Anolis sagrei: one gene and its partner. The protein of the gene in region 1 purifies or fractionates together with the protein of each later gene. This does not show direct contact. Links are inferred from orthologs where the notes say so. Each region holds a gene or a part of one and is shown on either strand. Other genes may lie near its edges. The genes, in order: DEPDC5 and WDR24.

Region 1 (12,499 bases):
AAGCCTTCTATGGAAGATATAACTTTGGTCTGTGTGTTTTTGTTCTTTTTATCACTTCTGGTTACTGGTGCTGGGTTACACTGCTACTAATAAGTTACTCTGCTATACATTCATGGGGAGGGTCCTTCATTAATAAGCCCACTCGTCCAACATTTTAGGCACAGCGTTTCGGAGAAAAGTTGACGAAGAAAGAAAACTTTTTGGCAAGGAGGAGGAGCAACAGCACACCCCTGTGGCTGGAACCAAGCACAGCCTCCAAAAGATGCCGAATGATGAGAAATAAGCCTAACCCTAACCCTATCTATTGCCTGTCTTGACATTGTATACTCGGCATTGAATGTTTGCCGTATATGTGTTCTGTGATCTGCACTGAGTCCCCTTCAGGGTGAGACAGCCAAAATAGAAGTACTGTAAATAAATAAAATAAAAATAAAAATATAATATCTATATAAATAAAAATGCAATGTTCATTTGTGGGATTAACATAACTCAAAAACCACTAGACGATTTGACACCAAATTTGGACACAATACACTGATCAGGCCAATTAGTGACCATCACTCATAAAAACACTGAAAAACACAGTAGAAGGGACTTAAAAAGTCACACACCTCCGCCCAAAAGATGCTACAACGCATGCACAAAATGATTCCCCCTGGCAAACAAAACACACAATAGCATATCCACACTCTCTTCCAGACTACAGCTCCCAGCATCCCTTAGATCAGGCCCTTTAGGAGAGGAGGTTTAGCACAGCTGGTAAATCATCAGCAATTATAAGATCTATCAACCAAAAGGTTGCAAGTTCGAAGCCCCAGGTTGGCATGAGCTGCTAACTGTCAGCCTAGCTCATTGTTTACCTAAGCAATTCGAAGACAGCTTTAGCTGTGATTAGAGAAGTTAGGTACCGCTAAAAGTGGGGGAGGTGTTTTACGACGCCATAAAGAAAAAATATCAAAAAATGCTGGTTGACCAAAAGGAAGGAAAAGTCCTGATGGCTCTTCGTCATAGAGAATAGACTCAAGCCCAACCTTCCATGGCACCAAAAACAGCTGGACACTGAGTTGAAAGAAAAGGGGAGGGGGGAGAGAAAGAAGGAAGGAGAGAAGGAAAGAAAAAAAACATAACAAATCTTACTAATGGGAGTTTTAGGGGGTTAAATTATAACCTTATGCATTTTGCCGGGTACCCAAGCTAGTATTATATATATAACATATTAATAAAAGAATACTATAAGAATATAATTATAACAATAAGAATAGAAATATACCTATACAATAATAATATTATACTATAATATAATAATCCTATAAGAATACAATATATAAGAATGATATAACAATAACATAATATTATATTATACTAATATAAGAAGACTATAAATATAAAATGACTATAAGAATATTATATATAAGAATACAAATATAACATATTTATAATATAATATATTACAAAAAGAATATAATATAATAAGACTGTAAGATTATAATATATAACAATAATATAACATAATAATATATACTTATATGCTATAATACTATAATATAATAGAAGAAGAGTGGACTATATAAGAATATAACTGTAATATATAACAATAAAACATACAATAATACTATAATATAATATAGGAATACCATAAGGATATAGTATATAAGAATATATTAGTATAACCTATAATCTATATAAATAAAAATAAAAATGTAATGGTTGTTTGTGGGATTAACAGAACTCAAAAACCACTGGGGGAATTGACACCAAATTTGGATACAATACATCTATCAGGCCAACAAGTGACCATCACTCAAAAGAATTGATTTTGTAATTTGGGAGTTTTAGTTGCTGGGATTTATCGTTTACCAAGAATCAAAGAGCATTCTGAACTCCAGCAAGGGTGGAATTGAACCAAACTTGACACACAGAACTCCCGTGACCAAAAGAAAACACTAGAAGGGTTTAGTGGGCATTGACCTTGAGTTTTGGAGTTGTAGTTCATCTACATCCAGAGAGCTCTGTGGATTCAAACAATGAAGGATCTAGACCAAACTTGGCATGAATACTCCATATACCCAAATATGAACACAGATGGGAGTTTGGGGAAAATAGACCATAACATTTGGGAGTTGTAGTTCACCCAAAATCAAAGAGCATTCTAAACCTCACCAATGATAGAATTGGGCCAAACTCACCACACAGAGACCCCCATAACCAACAGATAATACTGTGCTTTCTGGTGGTCTTTGGCAACCCTTCTGACACCCCCTAGCGACCCCCCAGGGGCCTGATCCCCAGGTTGAGAAATGCAGCCTTAAGGCCTTCTATATTAGTTATACTAGTCCAACTCCCTTCACCAGGACAAGAAAACATAATCAAAGCCCTCCTGATAAAAAGCCACCCAGCCATAGATATAGGTAGATAGACATGATTCATGTGCGCGCACACACACACATATATATGTATATGACAGATATAGTATCATAGATTTGAAAGGGACACCTAAAGAAGGACAATTATATGCTGCATGTTCCAGAGTAGGCAAACCAGACAATCCCTACACCAACACTGACAAAGAAAAAAAAAAGAAATACTGTTTACACACAAGCAGAAAGACATTACATATATTAGAAACCAACAGTTTTTCATTGCCTTATTTTCCAAATCACAAGACTGGACCACAGCAATGCATGACAAGGGACAGCTAGTATTATATAATATAATATATAAGAATACAGCATATAAGAAAAATATAACTATAGTATAACAATTATATAAGACTATATATTACATAAGAATATAACATAATAATATAGAATAGCATAAGACTAAAAGAATATAAAATAAAATATTAATATCTGTAATAATATTATAAGAAAGTAAGGAGAGTATAAGAATAACATATAATAATAATATGAAAATATACTACTATTATTGTTCATTCGTTCAGTCATTTCCAACTCTTCGTGACCTCATGGACTAGCCCACGCCAGAGCTCCCTGTCGGCTGTCACCACCCCCAGCTCCTTCAAGGTCAGTCCAGTCACTTCAAGGATCCCGTCCATCCATCTTGCTCTTGATCGGCCCCTCTTCCTTTTTCCTTCCATTTTCCCCAGCATCGTCTTCTCTAAGCTTTCCTTTCTTCTCATGATGTGACCAAAGTACTTCATCTTTGCCTCTACTATCCTTCCCTCCAATGAGCAGTTGGGCTTTATTTCCTGAAGGTATGGACTGGTTGGATCTTCTGGCGCTCCAAGGCACTCTCAGAACTTTCCTCCAACACCACAGTTCAAAAGCATCTCTCTTCCTTTGCTCAGCCTTCCCTAAGGTCCAGCTCTCACATCCGTAGGTGACTATGAGGAATACCATGGCTTTAACTATGCGGATCTTTGTTGCCAATGTGATGTCTCTACTCTTCACTATTTTATTGAGATTGGACATCGCTCTCCTCCCAAGAAGTAAGTGTCTCCTGATTTCCTGGCTGCAGTCTGCGTCTGCAGTAATCTTCGCTCCTAGAAATACAAAGTCTGTCACTGCCTCCATGTTTTCTCCCTCTATTTCCCAGTTGCTAATCATTCTTGTTGCCATAATCTTGGTTTTTTTTATGTTTAGCTGCAACCCAGCTTTTGCGCTTTCTTATTTCACCTTGATTAGAAGGCTCCTCAGCTCCTCCTCGCTTTCGACCATCAAAGTGGTGTAATCTGCATATCTAAGGTTGTTAATGTTTCTTCCAGAAATGTTTACCCCAGCCTTGCATTCGTCAAGCCCCGCACGTCGCATGATGTGTTCTGCATACAAGTTGAATAGGTTGGGGGAGAGTATACAACCCTGCCGCACACCTTTCCGAATCTTGAACCAGTCTCTTGTTCCATGGTCAGTTCTTACTGTTGCTACTTGGTCCTTGTACAGATTCCTCAGGAGACAGACAAGGTGACTTAGTATGCCCAGACCACCAAGAACTTGCCACAATTTATTATGATCCACACAGTCAAAGGCTTTAGAATAGTCAATGAAACAGAAATAGATGTTTTTCTGAAACTCCCTGCCTTTCTCCATTATCCAGCAGATATTGGCAACTTGGTCTCAGCACAACAACAGAGAGGAAACAAACAAGGACATTTAATCACCTCTCAACAAAAGTTTGCTCCAGGCACTGTTAGGCCATTATATGCTAATCAAGGTGGTCAGTTGAAACATTCACACCTAGCTCCAGCAGACAATTTATTTACTTTATTTATTTACTTTATTGGTATACCGCTCTTCTCAGCCCTTAGGCAACTCAGAGCGGTTTACAACAATTTAGGTATACACAATACAAAATCAGACAAGAGTCCTTTGCCCCACCCTGGTCATTCCACAGATTTATAAACCCATTTTCCTAGTTCCAACAGACCTCACTACCTCTGAGGATGCTTGCCATAGATGCAGGCGAAACGTCAGGAGAGAATGCCTCTAGACCATGGCCATATAGTCCGAAAAAAACCTACAACAGCCCAGTGATTCCGGCCACTAAAGCCTTCGACAATACATTAATTTGGTTTCTCATTCCTCTACTTTTTCTAAACTACTATTATAAGAATAAAATCGTATAAATCTAACAACATATAACATAGCAATAGCACTATAATACATTGTATATTAATATAACAATAACAACATATGGTTTTTGTATGTTTTTTCGGGCTATAGGGCCATGTTCTAGAGGCATTTCTCCTGACGTTTCGCCTGCATCTATAGCAAGCATCCTCAGAAGTAGTGAGGTCTGTTGGAATTAGGACAATGGGTTTATATATCTGTGGAATGGCTGGGGTGGGGCAAAGAGCTCTTCTCTGCTGGAGCTAGGTGTGAATGTTTCAGCTGACCACCTTCATTAGCATTTGAAGGCCTGGCTGAGCCTGGGAAAATGTTTTGTTGAGAGGTGTTAAGATGTGCCTGGTTGTTTCCTCTCTGCTGTTTTGCTGTAGTAATTTTAGAGGGGGTTTTTTTAGAGAGGAAACAACCAGGCACATCTTAACACCTCTCAACAGAACATTTTCCCAGGCTCAGCCAGGCCTTCAAATGCTAATGAAGGTGGTCAGCTGAAACATTCACACCTAGCTCCAGCAGAGATGAGCCCTTTGCCCCACCCCAGCCATTCCACAGATATATAAACACATTGTCCTAATTCCAACAGACCTCACTACCTCTGAGGATGCTTGTCATAGATGCAGGCGAAACGTCAGGAGAAATGCCTCTAGAACATGGCCCTATAGCCCGAAAAAACCCACAAGAACCTAGTGATTCCAGCCATGAAAGCCTTCGACAATACAAATAACAACATAATAATCCAATGATATAATTTTCAAATAGAACATATAAGATGAATATACCATAACTATAAAAATTCTGTAAGAAGAATAGAATAGACTAGAATAACAGTATTATCACCGAATGGCAAGGTCTTCTCTCTGAAGGGGCTTCCTCCCTCCCTCCCTCCTTCCTTCCTCCCCCTCCCCTGAGGGAGGGGCCACTTCCGGCAGAACCCAAGACCGCGCCTCGGTGGGAGCCTTTCTCCTGCTTCTCATTCTTCTCCTCTTGCTTCTCCATCCTTACCTGCTTCGGCCGCCGAGGAGGCCTGCCTCCCTCTCGCGCCGCGACTATCCTCCCGCCCCTCTCGGTGACCCGCCGCCTCCACTTCCGCCTCCGCTCTGTCCCGCCACTCGGTGGTTCTACATCCGGGGACTGACTCCAGTGCCTTCCTTCCGCCTTGTCCCAATCTTAGGAGGAAAGAGATACCCGGATGGGGACGCTCTAGGCCTCCGTGGTGTTTATACACGCGCCGGGAGTCCCGCTCTCCATTCGAAGCCCAGGGCATTCCAGAGGCAAGGGGTGGTTGGGTCTCAGCCTCTCCGCCTCGCCTGGCCCCGCCCCATTTCCCGGTCGCAGTTGGTTCGGCCCGCCATTCAGGAGACCCAGGTGGGTTGAACCATTATGATCTACATAGGGGGGAATCCCGCAGAGGCCTGCCTGCCTGTCTCCCTTCTGTAATATGATACAGTCATAATATAATTGTAATATATTATAATAATATTAATTTAAGAACGATAATGTAATAATATAATACTGATATGATTGTAAGGTAATGATAATATAATAATAATAATCTATATAAATAAAAATGTAGTGTTCGTTTGTGGTATTCACAGAACTCAAAAACCACTGGACGAATTGACACCAAACTTGGACACAATACACCTATCAGGCCAATGAGTGTCCATCACCCCTAAAAACACACTAAAAAACCAGCAGAACCCCCCCCCCCCAAATAAGCTATATATACATATACACCTGCACACATACATACACACACACATGTGTACACAAGCACACACAAATATACACGTACATATAGACATGCACACATACATGCACACATACACATATATTTACATATACACATGCATACATACACATATATACACAAGCACACACATATACACAATATACATATGCACATATACACCTATCTATCTATTTGTGTATATGTGTATATATGTGTGTTTGCATATATAGATAGACAGAGATATATACACACATACACACACACAAACAAACCATATATGCAGACTGGGCCACAGCAACACATGGCAGGGTACGGCTAGTCTATATAAATAAAAATGTAATGTTCATTTGTGGGGTTAACAGAACTCAAAAACCACTGGACAAATTGACACCAAACTTGGACACAATACATCTATCAGGCCAATGAGTGTCCATCACCCCTAAAAACACACTAAAAAATCAGCAGAACGGACTTAAACCCCACCCACCCCCCAATAAACTATATATACATATACACTTGCACACATACATACACACACACATGTACACAAGCACACACAAATATACACATGCACACATACACATATATTTACATATACACATGCATGCATACATAAACATATATACACAAGCGCACACGTATACACAATATACATATGCACACACATACATCTATCTATCTATTTGTGTATATGTGTATATATGTGTGTTTGCATATATAGATAGATAGATAGATAGATATATATACACACATTCACACACACACACACTGTATATACAGACTGGGCCACAGCAACGCATGGCAGGGTATGGCTAGTCTATATAAATAAAAATGTAATGTTCATTTGTGGGGTTAACAGAACTCAAAAACCACTGGGTGAATTGACACCAAACTTGGACACAAGACACCTATCAGGCCAGTGAGTGTCCATCACCCCTAAAAACACACAAAAAACCCAGCAGAACGGACTTAACCCCCCCCAAAATAAACTATATATACATATACACTTGCACACACATACATACATACACACACACATGTACACAAGCACACACAAATATACACATACATATAGACATGCACACATACACATATATTTACATATACACATGCATACATACACATATATACACAAGCACATACAATATACATATACACATATGCACACACACACATATACACCTATCTATCTATCTATTTGTGTATATGTGTATATATGTGTGTTTGCATATATAGATAGAGATACATACACACATACACACACACAAACAAACCATATATGCAGACTGGGCCACAGCAACACATGGCAGGGTACGGCTAGTCTATATAAATAAAAATGTAATGTTCATAGAATCATAGAAACAAAGAGTTGGAAGTGACCTCATGGGCCATCCAGTCCAACCCCCTGCCAAGAGGCAGGAATATTGCATTCAAATCACCCCTGACAGATGGCCATCCAGCCTCTGTTTAAAAGCTTCCAAAGAAGGAGCCTCCACCACACTCCGGGGCAGAGAGTTCCACTGTTCGTTTGTGGGGTTAACATAACTCAAAAACCACTGGACGAATTACTGCCAAACTTGGCCACAAGACGTCAACTAACCCAAGGAGCGACCATCACTCAAAAAAATTGAATTTGGCATTTGGGAGTTGGGGGGAATAGACCTTGACATTTGGGAGTTGAAGTTGCTGGGATTTATAGTTCACCTACAATCAAAGAGCATTCTGAACCCCACGAACGACAGAATTGGGCCAAATTTCCCACACAGAACTCCCATGACCAACAGAAAATACTCAAGGTCATCCAGTCCAACTCCCTTCACCAGAGCAAGAAAAGGTAATCAAAGCCCTCCTGACAAACAACCATAGATATAGATAGATATGATTCACACACGCACAGATATAGTATCATAGATTTGAAAGGGACCCCTGAAGAAGGACAATGATATGTTGCATGTTCCTGAGTAGGCAAACCAGACAATCTCCACATCAACACTGACAAAAAACAACAAGAAATACTGTTTACCCACAAGCATAAAGAAATTACATATATTAGAATTCAACACCTTCTCGTTACTTTATTTTCCAGATCACCAGACTGGGCCACAGCAACATGTGGCAGTGGACGGCTAGTCTATATAAATAAAAATGTAATGTTTGTTTGTGGGATTAACAGAACTCAAAAACCACTGGACGAACTGACACCAAATTTGGACACAATACGCCTATCATGCCAACAAGCCAAAAAACAAAACATGCATTACAATGCATGCGCAAAAAACATATAAACACAAACACACATATATACACATATACACAAATATATACACACACATATATGCATATACATACACACAAAACACAAAAACACAGACTGGGCCACAGCAATGCATGGCAGGGGACAGCTAGTAATCTATATAAATACAAATGTCATGTTCGTTTGTGGGATTAACAGAACTCAAAAATCACTGGACAAATTGCAGCCAAATTTGGCCACGAGACACCTCCTAACCCAAGGAGTGACCTTCACTAAAAAAAAAAATCGATTTTGTCATTTGGGAGTTGTAGTTGCTGGGATTTGTAGTTCACTAACATTTAAAGAGCGTTCTAAACTCCACCAATGATGGAATTGACCCAAACGTGGCACACAGAACTCCCATTAACAACAGAAAACACTAGAAGGGTTTGGTGGGCACTGACCTTGAGTTTGGGACTTGTAGTTCATCTACATCCAGAGATCACTGTGGACTCAAACTTAAAGAGACTTAAAAAGCCAAAAAACAAAAATTACATTACAACGCATGCGCAAAACCACATATATAAACGCAAACACATACACACAGATATACACACATAAAACACATATAGACAGATGGCCACAGCAACATGTGGCAGGGGACGGCTAGTAAATAAGGGGGATTCAGGGCATTTTCCAAGTAACATCACCGAAACATACAAAGTAAACAGCATAACATAAAATTAACAAAACAACATAAGCATAAAATTATCAGAATAACACATGTATATTAAAAGTAATCCTGCCTGTTCAGAGCAATTAAAAGCTGGGACAAAGCTAGTGCAAACTCAAAATATGAGGGAATTAAGATCAGTGCTATAACTCTGGACTAGAACTGGTCATTCTCAAAGGCCACCAGGTCTTCAAGCTCTTACAAAAGGAGGGGAGGGATGGGGCCTGTCTTATTTCCCTTGGAAGGGCGTTCTAGAGGCGGGGGCCACCACCCAGAAGGCCCTCTCTCTTGTCCCCACCGACCCTTCCAATATTTTCGGTTGGTCATGGGAGTTCTGTGTGGCAATTTTGGTTCCATTCATCATTGGTGGAGTTTGGAATGCTCTTTGAATATAGGTGAACTATAAATCCCAGCAACTACAACTCCCAAATGACAAAATCACCCCACCCCACCAGTATTCAAATTTGGCGTATTAGGTATTTTGGGTGCTTCAGAACCCCCCCCCCCCCCCCCCCCCCCCCGCTTTTAAGTGGTACCTATTTATCAACTCATATTTCCTTTCGAACCACTAGGTAAGCGGAAGCTGAGCTAAAGGCCGGGAACTCAGCCTGACTTCAAACTGATAGCCTTTCAACTGACAAAATTAACTGCAGCTGGTGGTTTAACCTGCTGTGCTCAAGCCCAGCATTTTAATAACATTGATAATAAAACTGTAATAAAAGTTTTGTGTATGTGTCAAGAGCGGCTTGAGAAACTGCAAGTCATTTCTGGTGTGAGAGAATAGGCCATTTGCAAAGACGTTGCCTATGGGATGCCCAGATGTTATACCATCCTGTGGGAGGCTTCTCTCATGTCCCTTCATGGAACGCTGGAGCTGACAGATTCAAACCACCGATCTTTTGGTCAGCAGTCCTGCTTGCGAAAGGACAAAACCCATTGCGCCATTGGGTACTCCACTGATCATATTTTTGTTGTTCATTTGTTCAATCGTCTCCGACTCTTCATGACCTCATGGACCAGCCCACGCCAGAGCTCCCAGTCAGCCACTGATTATATACTATAGTAATAATATAATAGTAATATAATAATGATAATATCATTATAATATAATAATTAATGGGGAGATTCTCAGTCCTTGTCTAATGCAATTCTATGGTGAAATACATTTTCTTAAAGGAATATTTCTATTTTTTGAAGGATTTGAAGCCTCAAGATGAAAACCAACAAAGTCTACAAACTCGTCATCCATAAGAAAGGCTTCGGCAGCAGCGGTTAGTTCATGGGAAACTAAATATTGCATATATATATATATATATATATATATATATAATTATTACTGAAGTATAGCATTATAAGTAATATTAAATTATATTATTTTAAAATTATATTATAATAATCAAATATATATTTAAAATATTAAAATATATTATTGTTTTGAAATTATAGATATTGTTCTTATTAAATTATGATTACCGTTATTAAAATATATTATGAAGTATTATATTAAAACATATTATTCTTAAAATATTAATAGTCATAACAATTATTATTTATTGCTTTGCAGATGATGAGCTGGTGGTCAATCCCAAAGTATTTCTTCATATTAAATTGGGAGATATTGTGGAAATCGCTCACCCCAATGACGAATACAGGTCAAATATTAATTATTAATGTTATTATTTTAAGTTTTCATGTATTTATATTCTAATGCATTTGTCCTGTTTTTATGAGCATAGTATTATTTATATATCTGTATTAGGAGGAAATTGGGATAAAAATAAAGAAAATATAATAATTGTTATAGTAAAGGCTTTCTGTATATATTTCAGATTTCAATATTAATGTCAAAAAGACGTATGATTTTCCATAGGATTTGTGCTACATTAGAATAGTAAAGACAAATATCACTTAAGTAAAATAAGCGTTAAATATTAAATAACCAGAAAAATAAACTAAGGTGTAAACACTAAACTAATCCTGTATATTATATAAATGATCCAAAAAGCTACAGACCAATCTCCCTGTTGTGCCACCTCTACAAAGTTCTGGAGGGACTTATTTTGCATAGAATTATGGAAAAACTAGACCCCTGTCTGATCCCACAGCAAGCTGGCTTCATAAAAGGCAAAAGCTACACATCGCAAGTGTTGAACCTCACTCAGCACATAGAAGATGGTTTTGAAAGGCAGCAGATCACAGGAGCTGTCTTCATATACCTGTCAGCAGCCTATGATACTGTGAACCACCGCCTCCTCCTGAGAAAAATGTATGATATCACAAAGGACTACCACCTCACCCGCCTCTTAGGAAACTTGTTACAAAACAGGAGCTTTTTCCAGGGTCAGAGAAGCAGATGGCGGAAACAGAAGAACGGCCTGCCTCAGGGGAGCGTGCTTGCCCCATCCATGTTCAACATCTACACAAATGACCAGCCACTGCCAGAAGGGACAGAGAGTTTCATCTACGCTGATGATCGTGCCATTACTGCTCAAGCAGGGAGCTTTGAGATGGTTGAACAGAAGCTCTCCGAAGCTCTAGGTGCTCTTACTGCCTATTACAGGGAAAACCAACTGATCCCCAACCCATCTAAAACACAGACATGTGCCTTTCATCTCAAGAACAGACAAGCATCCCGAGCTCTGAAGATCACCTGGGAAGGAATCCCACTGGAGCATTGCAGCGCACCCAAATATTTGGGAGTCACTCTGGACCGTGCTCTTACCTACAAGAAGCACTGCCTGAACATCAAGCAAAAAGTGGGTGCTAGAAACAATATCATACGAAAGCTTACTGGCACAACCTGGGGATCACAACCAGATACAGTGAAGACATCTGCCCTTGCGCTGTGCTACTCTGCTGCTGAGTATGCATGCCCAGTGTGGAACACATCTCACCACACTAAAGCAGTGGATGTGGCTCTTAATGAGACATGCCGCATTATCACAGGGTGCCTGCGCCCTACACCACTGGAAAAATTACACTGTCTAGCCGGTATTGCACCACCTGACATCCGCCGGGAAGTAGCAGCCAGTAGTGAAAGGACCAAGGCAGAGACATCTCCAGCCCATCCCCTGTTTGGGTATCAGCCAGCACGTCAACGACTTAAATCTAGAAATAGTTTTCTAAGATCTACAGAGACACTCACTGGAACACCTCAGCAAGCGAGAGTCCAAAAGTGGCAGGCCCAAACCCAGAACCTCAACCAATGGCTGATACCCAAT
Region 2 (13,231 bases), about 23 Mb from region 1:
CCGCACAAACCAATCCATGCTCCCAACATCGCACTCTGTTTCTGCCTCAAAGACACTCAAGGCACTGGAAGAGGAGATAAATTCAAACTGCTCTGTGGGGTCTAACTTGCGCTTGAAGAAAATAGGGTGCCGCCGGTCGCCGATGTAAGGCTTGCGATTAGAATCCGAGGAAATTAGACTCTCTTTGGCCGCAAAAGCCAAGTCCCCAAAGAGGCTATAGCAAAGCCCTTCAGGGTTCGCCCGGTCAATTGGCTGGCTAGCATCTTTGAAGATGTGCTGGTAAAGAGTACTATCCTTGGAACCAGAGAGGAGGAAATAAGGATCGTGGAGATGCCGCCACACAATCCCCGTGGTCACGTCTTTGTGCTCTTCGAACATGGCTGAAGGAATGAATGGACGGCGAACATCCCACACGTAGATGTTGTGGTCCACCATCATAGAGCAGGTGGCAATGTGGTGCTTGCATTCCGGCCGCCACTTGACCCTTGCCACAGATGCGATTGTCTGCACGCAGTAGATCTCTTTGGCCCGGTTGGTGTTCATGTCCCAGACCTTGACCATCTTGTCTCGGCCCCCAGTGGCCAGCCAACCCCTAGAGGAAGGGCAACAACACAGAGACACCTCAAGAGCAAGGAAACAACAGTTCGAGAATCAACACATCCTAAATGCTGCCTTATGCAGACATTTGAGCCATTCACAATTCCGTTAAACTGCTCAGAGATTCACAATGAACTTTGATGTCCTTGTGGAGAGAAAAAGTGGGGTATAAATGAACATAACAACAACACTATGTAACATGTTTTTTGTTCCTGAGTGATAAATGTCATTTTTAATTAGTTCTATGATAATAATAATAATAATAATATTATAATAAACTTTATTTGTACCCCACTACCATCTCCCCAAGGGACTCGGTGCGGCTTACATGAGGCCAAGCCCAAAGTATATTAAACACAACATCAATAAACAATCAATAAAATACAAAAAATATAGAAAAAAAGTTTATTAAACTGCATATATGAAGTTTCTGGAATATAACAACTACTTTCAAAGTAACTATCGCACAATTAAACAGGAAATAACACTTTCAAACCAGGAACAGAACATTTTCCAAATTTTATTACATAGTGTAATACAGTGAAGCCCCTTGCTCTTCCGCAAATGCTTCCCCCATTTATTGAATATATCCAGGTGACACTATCCTCATTCTTTAGTACAGTGTCCAGAATCTATTAAAATGTAGGAAAATATCCCACTTCTTCTTGAGTGAAGAACTCTGATTTTTATAGGAACGTGTATCTGTAATGCTTAAAAAAATTAAAATAGTACCAAAACCCCTTTAAAACCAAGTATTGCATATACTCAAGTATAAGCTGAGTTTTTCAGCCCTTTTTTAGGCTGAAAAAATCCTACTCGGCTTATACTCGAGGAAAGGTATACTCTGCTTTTATTATTATTATTACTATATTTATTATTTTACTCTATTATTATTATATTACATTTAGATTATTTTACTCTACTTATTATTATTACATTTACCTTTTATCTATTCTTACTGTTATTATTACATGTACATTATTTTACTCTATTATTATTATTATTACATTTATTATTTTACTCTATTATTATTGGAAGGATAAGCACATTTACACTGAAGAAGATTAAAATAATGGTCTAATCAGAGTTGGGCAGTCTTATCTTAAATTACAATTTTATGTAAATATTCAAAAACATTTAACCTACTGATGCCTCAATTAAGGTCATTTTATTGCTATCTATTTTATTCTGAAATTTACCAGTAGCTGCTGGATTTCCTACCCGCAGCTTATACTCAAATCAATAAGTCTTCCCAGTTTTTTTGTGGTAAACTTAGATGCCTTGGCTTATATTTGGGTTGGCTTATACTCGAGTATATACGGTAGTCCATTTTAAAAGTCAATTTTCAAGTGACTGTTTGTCTATTAAGTCTAAAATGCAAGAAGGACAAAACATGAATAATAGAGGAAAGGGACAAGAAAAAAGTAGGGTACTGGAAGATCAGAAACAGCACTTTTGGGGGAAAAACAAATGCTATCTGCCCATACCTGTCCTCTGGATGCCAGTCACAACAGAATACAGGCCCATTGTGGGCTGTGAACATCCTTTCGTAGCGATCCGGACGGCGGATGTCCCACAGCTGAACGTTGCCATTTTCAAAAGTTGCAGCAAAGGTAAAGTAATCTCGAATGCTAAACTGGACATCACGCACGCTTTCTGATTGTCCTGAAGAAGGCAAGGGATAGCATGTTTGGCATGTCTGGCATTTGGTAGACCTTGCCTTGCAATTCTGAGTTATCACAGGAGAAACAAGGAAATGCACAAAGTAAACTTGTCCTAGTTTCAAATATGTGAGCTGAAGTTGCTCATGCAGCACACCAGTGTGTCCCGACACACAGTTTGGAAAGCTCTGACCTAATTCTAATAACTGAATTATGTGGACAGAATGAAGGTATTTTCAAGAGGCAGGGAAAACGCTAGGAGGAAGTAGTCCCAAGGTAAAGAACCAATAACAAACCAGCCCTTACCCGAGAAGGTGCTCACTGAATCCTTCTTGCGCAAGTCGAAGCACTTCATGTAGCCGTCCTGAGAGCCGCTCAGCAGCATGTACACTTCAGTCGGGTGGAAGCACACCTTGTTGACAGTGCGCTTGTGTTCAGTGAAGAGCTGGTCCTGCTTGTTGCGGGAGGGCTTGCCGAGGTTCCAGGTCACCACCACGCCATTGGTGGCTGCCGTGGCTAGCAGATTCTCGTCCATCTGGTGCCAGACCACGTCGGCACAGCTAAAATTCAGAGAGGGCTTGCGGCCGACACGCAGGTTCAGCTTCTCTACGAACTGATCCTCCTCAATGGAGTAGATCTTGAAGATGTTGCGCCCCGCCACCACAACCTGGGCCGCATCCCGGCACACGCTGATGGCATTGGAAGGGGCGTCCAGGTGGCAGAACATGGTCCGCCCAGTGATCGTGTTGCCACCAAGGGCAGTGGTCACTCTCGCCATTTTCTCCATGGCGGCCTTCCCTAGACTTCCTAGATCACAAAGCAAGGGCTTCAACAATTATACCCCCAAACACGCCATCATAAAAATAAGATACCTTCTGTCGGCAGCTAGTCCTTTACAACCCAGCCTGTCAGAGGAGTTTCTACAACTTCTTAACATGAGCAAGAGTTGCTGAATCCATCAAAGCAGATGCGAGCTAATGGCAGTTAAGTCAAAAGTTTATTTAACAGACCTTGTTATCTCCCACTGAAATCTCTTGGTGATATGACGAAGACTTTCCCTTTTCCCACTTTACTCCGAAGAAAATGTTTGGAGAATGTTTTCTGTTTTCCTGAAAGAAGTTTTGACTGAAGAAATCCAACAAAATCTTCTCCAACAAAGGATAACACTATACGGGAGGGAAGCAAACCAACACACGTCATAAAAAAGCAACAATATTAAATAATGGAAATTAGCAATTCTTGACATTTAAGAAGAATTAAATTAAGTTGCATATATATTGGTGGCCTAATAATAATAAATAATAATCTCTCCTGCACATTAAACAGCCTCCTTGGCATAGCGGACCGCTGTTGTTGTTTTTTACTTGTACAGTGATGGTCCTATGTAAATAAAAATTGTAATAGTAAGAAATTCACTGGTTTTGTATTTGTACAGCATTATGTACATCAATGGTGCTATATAAATAGGGAATAATTATAAGAGAGGATGCTTTTGCTATATAAGTAGCTAACAACAATAATAATACAAATTATAACAATAAGGAATTTGTTTTTTATTTGTATTTGTACAGTGCCATGTACATTCCTTGGTTTTGGTTTTTACTTGCACAGCACCATGGACATTGGTAGTGCTATAAAAATAGCTAATAATAATAATTAAAGAATGTGTTGGCTTTTGCTATATTAGTAGCAAATAATAATAAAAATGTTAATAATAAGGAATATTTTATTGACAGAGGGCAAGCTATTTAACTTCAGCAGACTGAAAACCAAAACCAAGATCACAACAACATCTGTTATAGCACTCCAATATGCTGATGACAATGTTGTCTGTGCTCATTCAGAAGATGGCCTACAAGTCACTCCAAGCACCTTTGCAGAAGCATATGAGCTCGGCCTCTCATTGAACATTGAGAAAACCAAAGTGCTCTTCCAGCAGTCACCAGTCAATCCCTCTGCAATGCCAGAGATATAGCTTAATGGTGTAACATTAGAAAATATTAGCCATTTCCACTACCTTGGTACCCTCCTCTCCACAAAAATTAACATTGATACTGAAATACAACACTGCCTGAGCTCTCCAAGTGCAGCATTTTTCCGAATGAAGGAGAGAGTGTTTGAGGACTGGGAAGTCCGTAGGGAGACCAAAGTGCTTGTTTATAAAGCCATTGTCCTCCCAACCCTGTTATATGCCTGTGAAATGTGGACTGTCTACAGATGTCATATGCAACTCCTGGAACGATTCCATCAGCACTGCCTCTGAAAGTCTGCAAATCTCTTGGGAAGAGAGATGGACAAATGTCAGCATGCTGGAAGAAGCAAAGACCACCAGCATTGAAGCGATGCTCCTAAAACGCATCGCACGTTGTCCGAATGCCCGATCACCATCTCCCAAAGCAGTTACTCTGCTCTGAACTCAAGAACGGGAAACAGAATGTTGGTGGACAGAAAAAGAGATTTAAAGATGGGCTTAAAACTAACCTTTAAAACTGTGGCATAGACTCTGAGAACTGGGAAGCCCTGGTCCTTGAGTGCTCTAACTGGAGGTCAGCTGTGACCAGCAGTGCTGTGGAATTCGAAGAGGCACAAATGGAGGGCGAAAGGGAGAAACGTGCCAAAAGGCGCGTCAAGCCAACCCTGACCAGGACCACCTTCCATCTGGAAACTGATGTCTTCACTGCGGGAGAACATGTGGGTCAAGAACAGGGCTCCACAGCCACCTATGGAACCACCGCGAAGACCCCACATCTGGAAGACCATCATCCTCGAGCTACGAGGGCTCACCTAAGTCAGTAAAGCAAGGAAGGACTGGAGGGATTTGAGGGGACTAACCTCTAGTGTACTCTACAGCCAGAGATCACACTGACTCCCACCAACGATGCATCTGGAGCAAACCTGCCCAACATAACAAAGTTTCAGGGGCTAACCTGACATAATGTGAGCTGCAGTTTACCCATCACTTTCTGCGTTAGGTAAAATTTAAAAAATGACTTTTTCAAATACAAAGTAATAAAAATAATGATCCTTCCACATTTCCGGCAGCTTAGGCCTCACGCATGCGCAGACTTCGCCCCAAGCTCCAGCTGCGCATGCGTGCTTCTAATCTTTCTTTTACTGTCTTGCCAGAGTAGGCCAAAGCCGAAGGGTGGGGCGAAGCTGGCGCATGCGTGCTGATTTCTCTCCCTGTGTCTTGCCGAAGTAGGCCGCACTCTCAGAAGTTCTCCTCAGAAGCGCACGCCATGAGGGAAGCCAGGCTTGAGGTAAAACGACTAGGCCGCGTCTCACCTGGCGGCGACGGAAAAGCAGCAGCAGCAGCCGGGCTCGAGCGGGCTCTCGACTGGGAAAGACCCCGGCTCTTCGGGAGGCCACTTCTCCGCCCTCCTTGCTTCCTTCTTCCGCCTCTTCCTCCTCCCCCCCCTCCTCCGCGGGAAGGCAGGCCCGCCCCTTCCGCCCGCAGCCTAGGCCGCCCCGCCCTCGCAGCAGCAAAGGCCTACAGCCATAGAGGAGGATAATAAGTAGACTAATAGAATAGTCATAATATAGTAATTATTACTTTGAAAACAGAAATGGTAGTAATAATAAAAATAATAATAATATAAAATACATAATATATATAAATAAAATATAAAATATATAGCATATAATAAAGTAACATATATAATATATAAATAAAATAGATATAATAAAAGATACAAAATACAAATGCATATTATAATACAAAATATATAGTATCTAATATATAAATAACATAAAATATATGGTATGCAATAACAATATATATAGTATATATATATATATATATGTATAAAATAAAATAGATATAATAAAATATATGAAAATACAATACATATTATAATACAAACTATATTTTATGTAATATATAAATAAAATATATAGTATCTAATATATAACAAAATATATGGTATGCAATAACAAAATATACAGAATATATAAATAAAATAGATAATAAAATATATAAAAATACAAATACATATTATAATATAAAATATATATTATGTAATATATAAATAAAATATATAGTATATAATAAAATGTATAATATATGAGTAAATAATAGATGTAATAAAATATATAAAATAAAAATACATATAATAATATAAAATATAATATATAAATAATAAAACAGATATGATAAAATATATAAAATTCAAATAACAATATAATATATATAAATATATATAATACAAATACAATAATATAAAATATATTATTTATAATATATAAGTAAAATATATATAATAAAATATATAGAAATACAAATATGTTAGCTGTGTAATGCTTCAAAGATACTAAATCAGTCGTTTTGTATTTTTAAAGTTTTTTAATATATATTTTTATAAACAGGTCACGTGATAAAATAGCACAAGAAACACTTACCAAATATAAGGTTATATCTTCGGAATATACAGGAGAAGGAGGCTTATATATATACAGTAAGAAAATGATTTTTTAGAATTTTATTATTTTCTTCTTTCCCCTCCCTTTTATAGTCATTTGAAACATCACAGCTTCCATCGTTTTAAATAAGACTTTGGACCAGCGGATACTTTAAATAGAGGTGCAATGGGGACAATGGTGCAATGTCTCCCATGCAAGCCTCCATGAACAAAGGGAGCTGTTCCCATATATATGTCAATGCGGCTTTCACCGAAGACATTCCTCCTAAGGGGTTGTGCCCGAAAACTCTTGGACCAAGACATTAGTGCCACTCTTGCAGGAAATGGAGTCAACTCTCGGCCAGATCCAAAATAGGAGTCATTTAGAATATTGCTGTTTGCACTGGCTTCACCAAATGGCCAACTTTACACCTTTGCTTTCAGTATCTTTTCTAACACTTCTTTCTCATTCGACTTTTTCCCATTTTCCACTATCTCTTTGCAACCATTTCTCTTGATTCTGTTTACATTGAGAGTTTAATGCAGATATAATGTGATTTGCAGTCTGAGGCTGGATCTACACTACATCATCATCATCATCATTATTATTATTATTATTATTAGCTGCCTTGAGTCTCCATTGGGATAAAAGCAGGATATGAATAAAGGTAATAATAATAAGGTTGCTGCGAGATTTCCAGGCTGTATGGCCATGTTCCAGAAGCATTCTCTCCTGACATTTCGCCTACATCTATGGCAGGCATCCTTAGACGTTGTGAGGTCTGTTGGAAACTAGGCAAGTGGGGTATATATATCTGTGGAATGTCCAGGGTGGGAGAAAGAACTCTTGTCTGCTTGAGGCAAGTGTGAATATTGCAACTGACTAACTTGATTAGCATTGAATGGCCTTGCAGCTTCAAATCCTGTCTGCTTCCTGTCTGAGGGAATCCTTTGTTTGGAGATGTTAGCTGGCCCTGATTGTTTCCTGTCTGGAATTCCCATTTTCTGAAAGTTGTTCAACAGAAAGGAGGAAACCATGAAAATGAACAAAATCTGGCTACCAGTATTTAAAAACTCTAAAATCAGGACAGTAATTAAAGAATAGCATTCAGAAAAAGGGGGATTCCTGGCATGAAACAATTCCAGGCACGAAACAATCACTTGCTTAGTTTCCAACAGACCTCACAACCTCTGAGGATGCCTGCCATAGATGTGGGCAAAACGTCAGGTAAGAATGCTTCTGGAACATGGCCATGCAGCACAGAAAACTCACAGCAACCCAGTGATTCTGGCCATAAAAGCCTTCGCGACAACACAGAAGAAGAAGAAGAAGAGGAGGGGGCGGGGGAGAAGACGAAGGTGATAGACCCATGTAGCCTGGATCTACTCTGTCATATAACATCTAGATTATCTGTTTTGAATTGGATTCTATGGCAGTGTAGACTCATATAATCCAGTTCAAAGGAGATAATCTGAATAATCTGTTTTGATCATCTGGATTATGTGGCAGTGTAGATCCAACCTAAGTGCATTCATGGCAAAATTAAAATGTAATTCAGGGATTTCTTGGTCCCATGTCTCATGTTCCTGACTATACTCATTGTCCCTTTTCCTTGTCTTGCATCACTGCTCCAAATGACTGCAGGGATGCAAGGCAAGGAAGTCCCTGAAAAAAAATGCTGTCCCTGCTATGATGTTTTCCAAATGCAAAACTAATCCATACTTAACTTCCTTGCACAGCATTACTGTATTTGGAGTATGACCCTTTCTCCTTGTGGGTTCCTTTGCAATTTATATTCGCATTTGACTCCAGCAAGAGAAGGTGACTGCTGCAAATCATCTGGTCCAAGGATCAATTTCTGATAGCACCCACTCCTCTCTTTGATAAGAAAAGGACATGTCAGGACTTGGGATAATGGCTTTTTGGACTACCGCTCTCAGAATCTCACAGCCAGCATGACCATTGATGGTGGGATTCTGGGAGTTCTTGTTCAAAAAAAAACACCACCTCCAATCTACAGCCGGGGGGGGGGGGGGGGGGGATGGGACACACCCTTTCTGAAGGCACTCTCTGCTATTCAATGGCTTTGTCTTCTGTGCCCCACCTCAGACTTACTTGCCTTTCCCTTGTGATGGTCTCAAATGGAAAACTCTGGATGGAAAACTCTGGACACTGAAGCTTCTGTGTGTTAATGAAGGATTTCATGGCCAGAATCACTGTGGAATGTCTAGAGTGGGAGAAAGAACTCTTGTCAAGCCAGGCTTTGAAACCGCAAGGCTATTCAATACTAATCAAGGTGGCTCATTGCAACATTCACATTTGCCTCGAACAGACAAGTGTTCTTTTTCCCCATCCTGGACTTTATTCCACAGGTATATAAACCCCACTTGCGTAGATGCCCGACCACCGTCTCCCAAAGCAGTTGCTCTACTCCGAACTCAAGAATGGAAAACGGAATGTTGGTGGACAGGAAAAGAGATTTAAAGATGGGCTCAAAGCCAACCCTAAAAACTCTGGCATAGACACTGAGAACTGGGAAGCCCTGGCCCTTGAGCGCTCCAGCTGAAGGTCAGCTGTGACCAACAGTGCTGTAGAATTTGAAGAGGCACGAATGGAGGGTGAAAGAGAGAAACATGCCAAGAGGAAGGCGCGTCAAGCCAACCCCGACCGAGACCGCCTTCCACCTGGAAACCAATGCCCTCACTGCGGGAGAAGATGCAGATCAAGAATAGGGCTCTACAGTCACCCACGGACCCACCAGAATACTGCTCCTGGAAGACTATCTTACTTGTTCAACGAGGGATCGCCTAAGTAAGTAAGTAGTTTCCAACAGAACTCATAACCTCTGAGGATGCCTGCCATAGATGTTGGCGAAACATCAGGGGGGAATGCTTCTAGAACATGGCCATGCAGCCCGGAAAACTCACAGCAACCCACTGAAGCTTCTGCTCACAGATAATGTGAAAACTGGGGGGGGGGGGGGGGGAGTGTTTTTGGTCTTCTGCTTAGTATCCCCCCCCCCCCCCCCCACAAGATATCATTCAGGCATAGGATATAAGCCATCTCTTTTCTAATATACTCACCCAAGCAGAAAGGCTTATTGGGGACCAAAATTCTAATACAGATCTGTGTCACATTTACAGTCAACAGTAAATCGTGTGTATGACAATATATATTAGTACCACATGCTAATTTGGACTGTTCACCCCACCCCTTTTAATGATCCAAACGTAAATGGTTCCTATATCTCTCTGTTATGCATTTGACCGAATATGGATTTGCTGCTGCTCTTTTGTCTCTGAGTGGATTTAGACTATTATTAGTCTTTTCATATTGAAACTTGGCATTCAAATCCCGGAGCTGATTGGGTACTTTTCCAACTCCCAAAATGTTGAACACTCCTTCAATTTTTATTGTTTTGAAGGATAGGACAATCCCACTTTGTTTTCTCTTTGCACTTACCCATTCCCTTGTCCTATTGTTTACAGCCTAGCCATGTTTATTGTAGCTTATCGCCATTATTTATTGAGTGCTGTTTTATTGAGTCTTAAGTTGTTGTTTTATATGCCTATATGTATTATTCTGTTGTATTTTATACTGTGTCTTATTTTATGTTTTGGTTTTAGGCATCTTGTGCTGTTGTGTAAGCTGCCCCGAGTCCCTTCGGGAAGATGGTGACTGGATACAAGAATAATGTTGTTGTTGTTGTTATTATTATTGTTATTATTATTATTATCCAACATCCTTTTGTAAAATTAGCCTCAACTTATTTCCATTGTTTCTTTTAATGAAGAAATTTGCCAATTTTTGTAAATGCTTAACAGCAAACTAAGGAAATCAAATAGTTACACCTGCTTCCTCTGCAGGTATTAAAGAAAAGCAAATAATTGGCTGCACAGATTCAGTATTCCAAATGCAGAGGAGTAGTCATTTAAACTAATCAATTGATGACTTCTGCTTCATTAAGTCAATCTGACCATTTCTTTTTTTGATATGAATGTCTTCCTCCCATTCTTTTCATGAAATTTATGAAGTTCATTATGGGGACTTCTTCCAGATGCTCTGCTTTGAACTGAATGATATGAGTCTACACTGCCATATAATCCAGTTCAAAGCAGATTGTCTGGATTCAGGAACTGGATAATTAGGCAGTGTAGATGGGACCTTATTTCAAAAAAGCCAAATGAAAACCTCACCAATTTCCTACTCTCTTGTAATCATTTGGCTGCTATTGAATGCTCAGAGACCAGACTCTGGAGGTAACATTTCTTTCTTTTGTATATACAGCAACTGAAGAAATGAAAAGCAGAGTGGATTTATCAGCTGTGGTGAAAAAAAAATCTGGTCTTTGGCGTCTCTCACACATAATGGAAGCTGGAACGTAAATTTAAAACAATATTATGTGTCAGGGGACAACAGTTTGTTACTATTAGTTAATGTTATGGGTCAGGAAGCAAAGGTTTTGTTTGCATTGTGCTTGCCATTTTAAAATGTAACTGTTTGATTTCCTAGGGTTTTTAAGTAACTAAAAATATTTATGTTTTTAAAAGACGTCAGAAAAAACGCATACTATTGGCTCAAGGTCCCAAAAAACCCAAATAGCGAGGCTGTGCAAGTATAAAAGTGAATAAAAAGAGCCACAATTACATTACAAAAGCACTTGTGTCATCCCTTGTTAGTTGTTCTGACACTGCTGGTGTAACACATATATGCCTTAATCACTGGAGAAGGAAATATATCACCAGCAGCTCTACTATTAGTACTCCATAAAGTCCAAGTGCTCGCCTAATAGCAGCCATTCTATCCAACTGAAGCAGGAGATATGGAGTGGCAATTTGGCTGAGAGATCAGGGATACCTGAGGACAAGATTTTTCCGTGCAGTTGCCATGCTTCATTTAATCAACTGTGTAGTGATCCATATGTCTTCCAAATTTGCACCATGTTTTACCACCATTTCTTCCACCCTTGTTTTTCCTGCAGAAAATTCCCATTAAGGAAGAAAGCCTGCAACAGCCATTGAATATCATTTGATAATGGAAACCTGTTTGAAAGCACCCACATTCCATTTCCCTCCTTTTCGGAGATGTTTCAGTTCAACCCTATTTCTGTAAAAATTTTGGAATTTATAATTGCAATTCATGCCTGAGTTTGTGCGCCCCCCCCCATCCCCCTTTTCATATCATTCTTTGCTTTTCTGGAGATAAGGGTTAAAAATACTGTCAATCAAATAAGGAATCACCTGATGCTTGGCCATCCAGAGATGGATCCCTACATATTCAGTCATTTCCAAATCTGTGAAATTAAAGGTTTAAATATTACAGAGCCTATGAAGTTTCCTCAGCAGTGTACAGAGTTTTCCAGAGAGCCAACCTTTGAGACGGCTGAAGCTAGCAAATGGCATGTTCAAATAGATTCCCTCCCCCCTTTGGAATCGCGTAATCCGTTCTCCACTCTCCCGTCAAGCTTCAGGGGAGTTTGAGGCGGGATATTGAATCACGTGACCAGGAACCCCATCTATGACCCACAACAGGCAAGGCCTCCCCCTAAAAAAAAAACCCACCCCAACTCCCACATTCACTTACCCAACCCTCACAATCATGCAGTTCTGCAGGATACGCAAGGCAGGATGAAAGAGCAGGGAGTTGTAAAACGTCACCCTAAAAAAATAGGCTGGCTTAAAGCTTTACAAAGATGTTATGGCAACAAAATGTTTCGCACCGAAGAAATACCAATGTTTTTTTAAAAAAGTGGTTGTCAAAAGCAAGTTTGTTCATGAGTTCCGTACAGATGAAGAGCACGCTGATCTCCAGGCACATCCATTGGGTGTGATGTGGGAGCAGTTTACCATTGCACATGGTGTGTGCGCCACCATCTGGGGCAGGTTGCGTGGCCTTGTATGGAGAAGCATCGTAGGCCTCTGAGCCAGTCTGTTTGCCCAAGCACAAGTGATATATGTATACAGATAGATATATGTGGATGATAGGTCACAAACAGATTGATTCTTTCCCCCACAGCATCCCCACATCATGCACAATGATCCATCCTGCTTCTTCCCTTACCCCTCTCTGGTAATCAGTTGGGATTTAAAAAAAAATCAATGTAATGCAGGCATGGGCCAACTTTGGCCCTCCCTCCTTTGGACTTCCACTCTCACAATTCCTAACAGCCAGTAAGCTGTTATGAATTGTTGAAGTCTAAAATACCTGGAGGGAGGGCCGAAGTTGGCCCATGCCTGATGTAATGTATCTCCTTGTACACAATAACATGTGCATGGTTCCTTCCAGATATCCGATGAGCATTTACAGAAAGGTATTTTCAAACCCCTGCCACTATCCGCATGGTCTACAACCAGAGCTTTTCAAACTGCACCGCAACACATTAGTGTGTCAGCTGCAATGCGAGGTGTGTCGTGCGAACCTCACAAGAAATTACAAAAAAAATCCTGGAAATGTATGTAATTACATGACAAATCATATATTTCTGAAAAATATATAAATGAAAAGGCTTTTATGAGATATGTTACGCCTTCATATATTTAATCGTTACAATTTCTGTCTGTGTCCGCATCTCTTCT

What was found.
Region 2: the proteins of DEPDC5 (region 1) and WDR24 purify together in Homo sapiens (affinity purification with western blotting; 4 studies listed by BioGRID and IntAct, with this or other methods). This does not show direct contact. The link is inferred for Anolis sagrei from reciprocal best matches to the Homo sapiens genes DEPDC5 and WDR24.

The regions. Positions count from the first base shown.
Region 1 is NC_090034.1:49,303,023-49,315,521, reverse strand, and holds the start of DEPDC5 (GATOR1 complex protein DEPDC5), read left to right. Parts: upstream 1-5,725; 5' UTR 5,726-5,945; intron 5,946-10,475; 5' UTR 10,476-10,491; coding exon 10,492-10,549; intron 10,550-10,842; coding exon 10,843-10,930; intron 10,931-12,499. UniProt on the Homo sapiens protein: As a component of the GATOR1 complex functions as an inhibitor of the amino acid-sensing branch of the mTORC1 pathway.
Region 2 is NC_090034.1:26,274,186-26,287,416, forward strand, and holds the start of WDR24 (GATOR2 complex protein WDR24), read right to left. Parts: upstream 5,677-13,231; 5' UTR 5,544-5,676; intron 5,360-5,543; exon of another isoform or gene 5,186-5,359; intron 5,166-5,185; exon of another isoform or gene 4,740-5,165; intron 3,425-4,739; 5' UTR 3,046-3,424; coding exon 2,565-3,045; intron 2,263-2,564; coding exon 2,085-2,262; intron 593-2,084; coding exon 1-592. UniProt on the Homo sapiens protein: Catalytic component of the GATOR2 complex, a multiprotein complex that acts as an activator of the amino acid-sensing branch of the mTORC1 signaling pathway. The GATOR2 complex indirectly activates mTORC1 through the inhibition of the GATOR1 subcomplex.